Cricetulus griseus: one gene and its partners. The protein of the gene in region 3 interacts with the protein of the main gene of each other region in a pairwise test. Links are inferred from orthologs where the notes say so. Each region holds a gene or a part of one and is shown on either strand. Other genes may lie near its edges. The genes, in order: Dppa4, Ap1m1 and protein LDOC1-like.

What was found.
Region 1: the proteins of protein LDOC1-like (region 3) and Dppa4 interact in binary tests that used the Homo sapiens proteins (3 or more experiments, as listed by UniProt). The two-hybrid records come from large-scale screens. The link is inferred for Cricetulus griseus from reciprocal best matches to the Homo sapiens genes LDOC1 and DPPA4.
Region 2: the proteins of protein LDOC1-like (region 3) and Ap1m1 interact in binary tests that used the Homo sapiens proteins (3 or more experiments, as listed by UniProt). The two-hybrid records come from large-scale screens. The link is inferred for Cricetulus griseus from reciprocal best matches to the Homo sapiens genes LDOC1 and AP1M1.

What each region holds. Positions count from the first base shown.
Region 1 is NC_048597.1:42,777,690-42,781,442, reverse strand, and holds the start of Dppa4 (developmental pluripotency-associated protein 4), read left to right. Parts: upstream 1-969; coding exon 970-993; intron 994-3,431; coding exon 3,432-3,549; intron 3,550-3,753. UniProt on the Homo sapiens protein: May be involved in the maintenance of active epigenetic status of target genes. May inhibit differentiation of embryonic cells into a primitive ectoderm lineage.
Region 2 is NW_023276806.1:247,005,756-247,009,408, reverse strand, and holds part of Ap1m1 (AP-1 complex subunit mu-1), read right to left. Parts: coding exon 3,630-3,653; intron 3,231-3,629; coding exon 3,083-3,230; intron 1-3,082. UniProt on the Homo sapiens protein: Subunit of clathrin-associated adaptor protein complex 1 that plays a role in protein sorting in the trans-Golgi network (TGN) and endosomes.
Region 3 is NC_048604.1:11,336,436-11,339,003, forward strand, and holds protein LDOC1-like, read right to left. Parts: upstream 1,099-2,568; coding exon 646-1,098; downstream 1-645. UniProt on the Homo sapiens protein: May have an important role in the development and/or progression of some cancers.

The DNA of each region.
Region 1 (3,753 bases), on a different chromosome or scaffold from region 3:
CTCCTTAGTGCTAGGATTAAAGGCTTGTACCACCACTTCCCAGTGGACTTTATAAACTATTAAGAGTAGGCAGATAGAAATGTACAGTTTTAAACCAGGTTTAGAGGCCTGAATTCCAGCACTGGGCAGGCTGAGACAGGAAGAACAGAAATGCAAACCTTGGCCAGGTGTAGTGAGGCCCCTTGATCCCAACATTCAGAAGCAGAAACTGGAAGATCTCTCTGAGCCCCAGGCCAGCCGGAACTTCATGAGACTGAAAGGAATTCACAAAAGTTGTCATTTTATTGGCTGTGGCTGTGGCTCAGTGGTAGACGGATTAGTATGCATAAACAAGGCTCTCCAAGAGCACTATCACCATAAAAACAAAACAAGCCCCCTGTGGTTTACAGAAAAGGAATTCACAAGGAACGAGAAATGGGTTGTTTTCCTCAAATCCAGGACTCTAATTTCATTCGCTAATTAGACAGGCTGTTCACACAGCTTGTTCGGAATTCTTTTGGGACTCCACTTTCCCTTTTCTTTTCTTTTCTTTTTTTTTTTTTTCTTTTTTTAAGATCAAGCTGGCCTCTAGGAGCTCAGAAAGATGCTCCTGTCTCAGGCAGCGGAACGGCAGGATTAAAGGCTTGTGCCACCCAACAATACTTGTAGTTTTTAGTTCCCCAGGAGCAGGGTGTGGCGGCTCATGACTCTAAGTCACACCTTTCTATGGCTGAGCAGACCCACCCTGGGAGTTTAGCTCATCTGGGCTGCAAAAGTAAGTTCTAAGCCAGTCTTCATTAAACACTAAAAAGCCTGCCACCGCCAGACTTCAGCACCAAAAATTGTTGGGGAGTGGGATCACGAGGGTGGTGGACGGAAGACAGCATCAAGGCAACAGGAAGTAGGAGGAGATTTCGAAAAGCTCACTGAGGCCAGAGGTCGTTTGGAAGCTGGAAGAATCTTCTTTCAGCGGTCTCATCTGATTTGAAGATGGAGCATGCTGAAAGCAAGGAGGTGAGAGCTGTTTTGTTTTGTTTTGTTTTGTTTGTGGCTCAGCTTTCTAAATAGGTGGGTCTCGTGCACACTCGGCCTTTGTTTGGGGGAGAGGAAGAGAACGAGAATTTGTTCCGTGCAGGTGTAGGGCTCAGCAGCGGGGCGCTCTTATGGCCTTAGACGAGGCGCCCCAGGGCCTGACTGCTGTAGGTGTAGTAGAAAGGGCGGTTGTGTTTTGGAAAGGGATGTTTTGCTTGGAAGGAATTTAGAGTACTGTGGCTGGAGGAAAGTGGTCACAAGGTAAAGCAGGTAAGATGAACCAGAGGCTTTTGGATAGCTGTCTGCTATATACCGGTGGAGAGCCAGAGGCCTTGGCCCACGAATCCTAGCTGAAGGGTTTCTAGGGCTTTCCAAGGGGAAGGCAGACTCAGAGGGACAAACCTTGCTGGTGCCTGACTGCAGGAGCCAGACTCGTGAGTGTGCTCCAGGTCTCCTTCCCAAGTTCCCGTCATTTCCAACTTTATTGTGTAAAAATTTTGTTAGGTCTAAAACTGAATTATTTGTGAAAAGGACACGCAAATGTAAAGCTGGATTGCGAATGTGAAGCTAGTTCCTATTGAGATGCAAAATAGCATCCAAATGTTAATTTATCTCACACTGCTGCTCTTGGGGGTGGAAGTCTGGCTTGGAAAGGCCTTACGTTTGGGAGCAAACTGACCAGGGTTTGCTTTTATTCATATATTTACTTATCTGCTGTTTTGAGACAGGGTTTCTCAATGTAACTGCCCTGACTGCCTTGGAACTCACTCTAGCCTCCTATTCACAGAGATCTGCCTGCCTCTGCATCCTGGATACTGGAATTAAAGGCACGGGTCACCACCACCACCCAGTTTATTTATAAAATAAGTTTATTTTACAACCCAGTGGTGGTGTCCTCCCTCCTCTCTTCCTAAACCTTCCCCCCAAGCCTGCCCCCGCCCTTTCGGTTCAGGAAAGGGCAGGTCTCCCATGAGTATCAACAAAACGTGGAATATCAAGTTGCAGTAATACCAAACACCTCCCCATGTATTAAGGCTGGGCAAGGCCACCCAGTCTGTGGAGTAGGGTCCCTTGCCTGTAAAGGAGTTTGAGATAGCCCCTGTCCCCGTTGTTAGGGATCCCCCAAGAGGACCAAGCTACCCAACTGTGTAACCTATGCAGGGTACCTAGGTCCCATGCAGGCTCCCTGGTTTTCCATTCAGTCTCTGTGAACTCCTATGAGCCCAGATTAATTGATTCGGTGAGTTTTCTTGCAGTATCTTGACCCCTCTGTCTTCTACAATCTTTCCTCCCCATCTTCTGCAGGATTCCCAGAACTCTTAATGTTTGACTATGACTCTGCATCTGTTTCCATCAGTTGCTGGATGAAGCCTCTCTACTGACAGTCTATGAGTATAGCAGAATATCGTTAGGCACCATTACATTGATAACTCCCCTCCCCCCGTAGTCGTATTTGTTTCTGTCCTAGGTCTCTGGGTCATCCAGCCTGTGGGTTCTGGTGTTCCGAGCAGTGTTGGGGTGTGCTCATTCTCCTGCCATGGGTTTTAGGTGGCCTGGCAAGAGACCCCACTCTTGTGGAGTTCTGCTCACAGAAGGGACCTCATGAATGGTTGCAGTCAGTCGACACGTAGAAATGAGGCAGTATGTGGTTAATTGACTGCAAAGAGATTCCAGCAAAATAACACTTGAAATGAGACCAAAGGAGTAAGGTATAAGAATTGAAGTAGACTTTTTGGGCTTAGAACCAAGGTCTGGGGAAAAACAATCTTTGGGGTGAGAGATAAAATGGAGGAATATGCAGGCTGCTTTCCCCCAAAAGCAGACTAGCACTCTATTGTCTTTTGTCACTTTCTCCCTTTTGCTTTTGTTTATATCTCATCTTGTACTTTTGATTTTGTTCTTTAGCCTCAACTTGGCCTGAGGCTCATTATGGCTTCTAACTCCCTTGGTGACCCTCCACTTGCTGCCCAAGGCTAAGATTGCAACTATAACAACGTATTTTTTTTTTCTCTTTCCTTCAAAGAGTCTCACAGGGGACTCACAAATTGTTCACACGCTTTTAATCCCAGCACTGGGAGACAGAGGTGGGTGGAACTCTGTGGTGAGTTCCAGGACAGCCAAGGCTGTTGTTACACACAGAGAAACCCTGTCCTTGAAGAAGAAGACAAATCTCCTAGTGCTAGGGTTAAAATTGTGTTGCCAACAAGCCTGTTTTTCCTGCTGGCACCCTCTCATTTTCCCCCAACCATTGTTTCCTTATTTCATTAAGTCAGACTGCTTATTCAAATGATGGCCCCTTAGAATTCACACTGGCAGCCATATGCAGTGACCTCATGAGGACCATAGATGTTAGTTTAGAGCAAGGAAGGAGATATGCTGGTTCAAGACACCAGATAACTGTGTAACTCCTCCATCCACAGTGCAGCAGCACAGGAGTGGCTTGCGAAGAGGAATGCCAGATGTTTAGTCAACCAAGTACATCCTTTGTAAAAGTTCCAGCAACGGGGAAGAGACAGAAAAAGACAGTGAAAGAGAATGGTGAGAGTCTGTGAATGCTTAGTCCTACGTCTTTTTATCTAAAACTTAAGAAATCTTCCTTAAGCATAGAAAAAGGGTGGAAAAGGCCTGTATGTACTCCTGAGGTCTAAGAGTTCCCAGCTCTCTTTTAAAAAGAAAGAAAAGGGGTGGGGCTGGAGAGATGGCTCAGAGAGGTTAAAGCGCTGGCTGCTCTTCCAGACGTCC
Region 2 (3,653 bases), on a different chromosome or scaffold from region 3:
ACCTCCACTGTAGCAACCATGCACTTGCATTCAAACACATTCTCTTTCTTTCTCACTCAAAATGGATTTTCCTTTGCGGGGGAGGTAAAGTCTACTATGGAACTCAGACTGGCTTCAAAATTATGATTTTGTTGCTTCAGTCTTCTAGTTTCTGGAAAGACAGATGGGTGCTACTAGGCACCGTCTCAGGTTAGGTTTTAAAAATGATGCTCCTGCTGGGCACTGGTGGCGCACGCCTTTAATACCAGCACTCAGGAGGCAGAGGCAGGCAGATCTCTGTGAGTTCGAGGCCAGCCTGGTCTCCAGAGCGAGTGCCAGGATAGGCTTCAAAGCCACACAGAGAAACCCTGTCTCGGAAAACAAAACCAAAACCAAAACCAAACAAACAAAAAAATGATGCTCCTACCAGAACTCACTTTGATTAAGATGTGGGCAGATTCCAAGTAGAAGGACAAGGTGTGGTGGTCTGAAAGAAATGCCGTCCTCAGCCTCAGGCATTTGAACATGGTCCCCCGTTGGTGCTGTTCAGGGGGGCTTACTTAGAAGGTGTGGTCTTGCTGGAGAATGGTGGGGATGGGCTTTCAGGTTTCAAAGCCTCATGCCATTCCCTGTTCACACTGTCTGTTTCATGTTTGCAGCCAGAGGGCTCAGCGCTCAGCTCCAGACACCATGTCTGCCACTTGCCATGCTGGCCCTGACATTATGGACCCTAACCCTCTAGAAACCATACGCCCAGTAAACTCTCTCTTAATAAGCTGCCCTGGTCACGGTGTTTTACCATAGCAGGAGAAAAGCAACTAATACAAAGGGAAGTGCAGTGATAGAGGAAGAGCCAGCAGGCGTGGGGGTACACTCCTGTCGTCCCAGCACTGGGAACCTGAGGCAGGCAGATGTCTGTGTGTTCAAGTATGGTAGTGCTGTCTGTCTTACTCAATGTGGACTCTCTGTACTAGTGCCAGATGCTTCAAGCTCAGGCTGTTCCCCTTTCTGTCTTCTCACCATCTGCTCAGTTGGCTCACTAGAGAAAAAGACTGTCAGCATCAGTATTTAGCATCATGCTCAATTCTTTTGCTTTGAATAAAGAGGCAGAGACATCTCATTTAGCTCAGAGATTTCCATGAGTTCCATGCCAGCCAGGGCTAAATAGAAAGACCTTGTACTAGAACAAAACAAAACCAAGGCCAGGTATGGAGGTGCACAGCTTTAACCCCAGCACTTTGGGGGCAAAAGCAAATGGATCTCTGAGAATTCCAGGCCAGCCAGGGCTACATAGTGAGACCCTTTTACAAAAGCCAAACTACAATAAACAAACCAAACCAAAGGAAACAGGTTGTAAGAGCATACACTATCCAAGACCTAATAAAAAAAACCCACTGGGACCAGGTTCCCAGCACTCATGTCAGGAGGCTTACAACAGTGACTGCAACTTCAGTGGACCCTACTCCTTTACTGGCCTCTGTGGGTACACACACACACACACACACACACACACACACACACACACACACTACACATATACACACCCTTCATGCAGATACACACAAGTACATACATACATACATGTACAAATACACATACATACACCCCTGAATGCACGCACGCACATACACACACACCATGAAAATGTTTTGCCTGATGTGATGGTAACTTTTGACTGTTCACCTGACAGCTCTAGAGTCACCCAGGAGACAGACCTCTGGGTAGAGGCAGGTCTGGGAGTCTCTAGATTGGGTTAACTGAGTTATGAAGGCCCACCCAGCATGTGAGGGCCCCTTCCCACAAGCTGCAGTTCTGGATGAGTGAAAGGAAGGAAGCAAGCAGAACCGCAGCCTTCTTCGATCTGATTCCTGACTGTGGACACCATGTGACAGCTGCCTATACTCCTGTCATCAAACTTCCCAACTGTGACAGGCTGTGATGCAGAATGAACCCTTTGTCCCTGAAGTTGCACCTGTCAGATATTTTGTGACAGTCAGACAAGTAACTAATACACCCTGTGCACAGAGCTCCTGGGGTCCACACCTACTACCACAAACACCAAACACCAAGCAAGGAACACACAACCCAAAAGCACAAGCCACCCAAGATCTCAGCATTCTAGAAAAGTAGCAGTCTTGGGATATGTGATCTTTTGGGGTCTCTTGGTAACAGAGCTGGCTTTCCAGCTTTATAATGCTTTATGAGTTTGGTTTTACATGTGTGCACATGCCTGTGTGTGAGCGCCTGGAGGCCACAGTTTCACATCAAGTATCTTGCCCTATGATTCCCCCTCCTTTGTTTGAGGCAGGGTCTCTTACTGAGTTGGAGATCTCATTTGGCTGGGCTACCCTGTCCTTAACCATCAGTGCTGGGGTTACAGTGTACACCACCCCACTCAGCTTCCACTCGTGTGCTGGGATCGGAACTTTTGTCCTCACACTTGTACCTAAGCATTCTGCTGATATACCTATTTTTTTACTTAAAATGTTATTTTGACTGTGTATGAGTGTATATGATAAGTATTTGTCGGGTGTCACCACCTCCATGTGGAGGCCAGAAGACAACTTTGTGGTGTTCTCTCCTTTCACCTTTCTCAGGCCTCTGGGGATGGAGCTTGGTCATTAGGCTTAAACAGCAACTTGGCTCACTGAGCCATCTCCTTGGCCCTGTATTTCTTAAGTTGTAATTATTATTTGTGTGTGTGAGTGCACATGTGTGAGGTGCAACTTGCAGGAGTCAGTTCTCTTTTCCCACCATAGGTCCCAGGATGGAAAGCAGATGGTCAGGCTTTGTGAGAAGCCCTTTACCTGCTGAGTCATCTTGGGGACCCTTCTAGTTTTGTTTTTCTTAGACAGTGTGACCTGGAAGGTTTAGAACTCGAGGTCCCCCTACCTCAGTCTCTCAAAGCCACCACAATGTTGTCCCTACAGATTCTAAGTGAGAGGGAGGCTGGGTCTCTCCAATGGCCAAAACTAAGCCCTGCCATCTGCTGCCAAGGCCTAGGATTACACACCTGACAGCTCTGCTGGTTTTCAGTCTTATCCCTCTGACTTTCACCCTGGAAAAGCGGCAAGTTAGGAAAGGAAGGGAAAAGTTGGCCTACCAAGAGGTTAACCGCCTCAATGACGTCCAGGAACACTTCGTTCTTCCGGTACTTGATGCCCTCCGAGCGCCAGGACACAGCATTGGTGACAGTGGCCGGGGGGCGAGGGGCCCCGGTTTCCAGCTTGTGGCCTTCCTGAGTGATGTACCTATGGGGCCACCCACTCAGTTATAGAGGGGAACATGCAATGTTGGGCCTTGACACCGGGGTGGGGCTATGGAGCAGGGAAGGCCCAACCACTGGAAGTACCCACATCAGCAGGCTCCCGGGAGCGGCCTCTCACTAGGTATGGTGTGGCTGGCTATGGTGAGTGGGCTGTACACATTTACTTTCAGAGGCAAGGTGCTGGTGTAGGGTGGGAACGGGGAGTCAAGTAGTCAGCATTGTGGGCACCTGGAAGGGACTGAGCCCTGGGCCACCCACTGACCCCACCCCACCAGAAAAGCAGAGTGGCAGCTTTCCCTGGTCTCCCTGTCAAGTGGGGAGCTGGCATCCCAGGCTGCACTGTCCAGGACACGTGGCCTGCTCCTGTCAGCCCCGCACTCACTCCTGCAGGATCTTGCTGTCCGTG
Region 3 (2,568 bases):
CATACAGGAAACGAAATGTCAACATTTCAACAGTCAGGCAGGCACATCAGGCTCCTGCAGCAATCTGGTCCGGCAGAGGAGGAACCTGGAAGTAGGTACAGAACTAACCAGGCTGTAAGAATGGCCCCTTCTAGGAGGGTTGGTGAACTGTCCAAATGAGAGTCTGAATAGATGTAGCCAACTCCATCATCTTCTTCCTGGTCCATATCTTGAAAAGTGGATGGCTGCAGATGAGATGCAGTGGGGGGTGGTGGTGGGGGGGGGTGAGGTGACAGGCATCCACTTCTGGCAGATGTAGATGGCGATCCATCAGAAGCCAGCGGCAGGAATGCAGGTGGTCTGACGAGTTCTAACACAGGCCTGGACAATGGCTGGAGCTCAAAACACAGTTCAGATTAGAAAGGTGCCCGGATTGGTTAAAATTGAACACTGTGAACCTCAGAGCCAGGCCCAGGCCCAACTCAAGCACTCGTAGCAGGTAATTGGCACAAAGACAAGCACTAAAAGGGATGAAGGAGCGAAGTGATTGGCAGGGAAGAGAATGGCAATGCAAAGGGGGGCACGGAGGCAGCAGGAGTAGCGGTGGGGGTAGGGAGGACGCAGCGTGCAGGGTCCTCCTCATGTAGGCCTAAGGGGGCTCGGGGCCTAGCAATCAACCGCTTCACAGTCGTCGTCATCATCATCATCATCATCTTCGTCGTCATACCAGCCAAAACACTGCTTCATCTCTTCAACAAACGCGCGATAATCACAGAGAATGGCGCTATCTGTCTGGATGTACGGCACCACCCAATCCTCGGCTTTCCCGGAGAGGAGGCTGATCAGGAATGCCACTTTCATGGCGTCGTTGCAGAAGCGGTCCTCATTCACAAGCATGTAGGACATCGTCTGCACAATAAACTCGGGGAGCCGGGCGTTCTCGCCATTAAACGGTGAGGGGAAGGGCACCGGACAGCTGGGCGGACGTACCTGGCGCAGCAGAATGGCCCGCTCACACACCAGCAGCCGCAGCTGTTTCATGAGCCGGTTGTTCTCGATGCACAGGTCGCGGTGTCGCACCAGCAGCGCGTGCAGAAGCAACACCAGCTCGTCCACCATGGTGACTCGCTTGGCAGGTCTCGGGCTCTCGGGCTCGGATCGGCTCCGCGGAGCTGCTCAAGGAGGCCGTAGAGGAAGTGCGTGTCCTCAGAGGAGTGCTGACCCTGGGCACTGCGCAGAGGGGGTCTAGCTGGTGGCGGAAGCTCCACCCACAAGGTCACTCTGGCAGCCAATGCGCCAGCGCACTGCGGTGAGAAAGGCGTGGCGGAGGGGAGTGCTGGTGGCGTGGGGGTGTGGCCAGGGTGGGACTGACGGACCGAGTGGACGTGGCCCAGGAGGAGGAAGGCGTGACCAAGGGAGCATCGCCCCGGGCCTCTGTCAATTCCCCCAGCCTGATGAAGAAACGCTGGGGGAGCCAAGCCTGCCACAGTGGAGGGCTGTGCGAGCATAGAAGCTCAGCACTCAGGGCTGGCCTGCTTCAGCTTAAACTTCTCTGCAGCCGACCTGTTCATCCAATACAGTGTTCCTCGGTGGGCCTGCAGCCATCAACATTTTTTTAGAGTAATGCTTTCTTAACACATTTCCTTGCTTGTTTAAATTTCACCCAGAGAAATAACACTGACACTGAGGGTCATACTGCGGGAGATCATTTGAGTTTAGAGACTTCAAGACTTGCAAGGGGTGCTTTCATTAAATACATAAGTAATTGTCAACAGGGGCTTCTCTTCAGTTGAGACAATTTCACCAAAAGATCTCCAAATCTGCACAGAGTATCCATTTGCCAACATTCTATCTTTGATTCTTTCCATATTCCTGTTATCAGTGCCTTTGTTCCTAAGTTATAAACTGTGATGAGCTCTGTAAAATAACTTTGTCTGCCTATTTTAAACGTCATTAGTTGTCGATAACTAAGTTTGGTCCAGGATCCTTGAGCTGATAGCTATTGGGTCTGCTTTTTAAAATACATCTCCACATTCAGTCACTTCCGGGCATCTCTGCTACCTCGATCCCAGCCTTCTTTCACGGTCTGGTCTGCTACATCTAATCCCTTAGCTGTCATTCTTCCCCTTTTCTGCATATTCTCTAGAATAGCCTCAGAACACTTTTAGAATGTGAGTTAGAGCCTTTCACTCCCCATTTCGACGTTCTCCAGCAGTTTTTCCCTCTCTGCTGCTCTGAATAAAAAGCAAACCCTTGGTCGTAACATACAAGGACCTCCTTCTGCATGCCCTTTTTACATGACCTCCTGTTGTCCTAATCTCTGCCTCGCCTGCTAATTCCTGCACACATCAAGCAGATCTCGCCTAATCTCAGAGCCTTTGTCCCTTCTAGCTATCTTTCCCCCTTTACTTGCCTACCTCATTTTATACTACTTTGAGAAAGGGCTTCCCAAACTGTCTCATCTATATGTGAATTGTCTGTCGGCATGTACAGCTCCAACCCTTACTTCACTTACCTACGTAGTATTTATTATATTAAATATCATCAGGTGCGTCCCCTTTGAAATGTCAGTCAGTGCAGCAAAGGGGC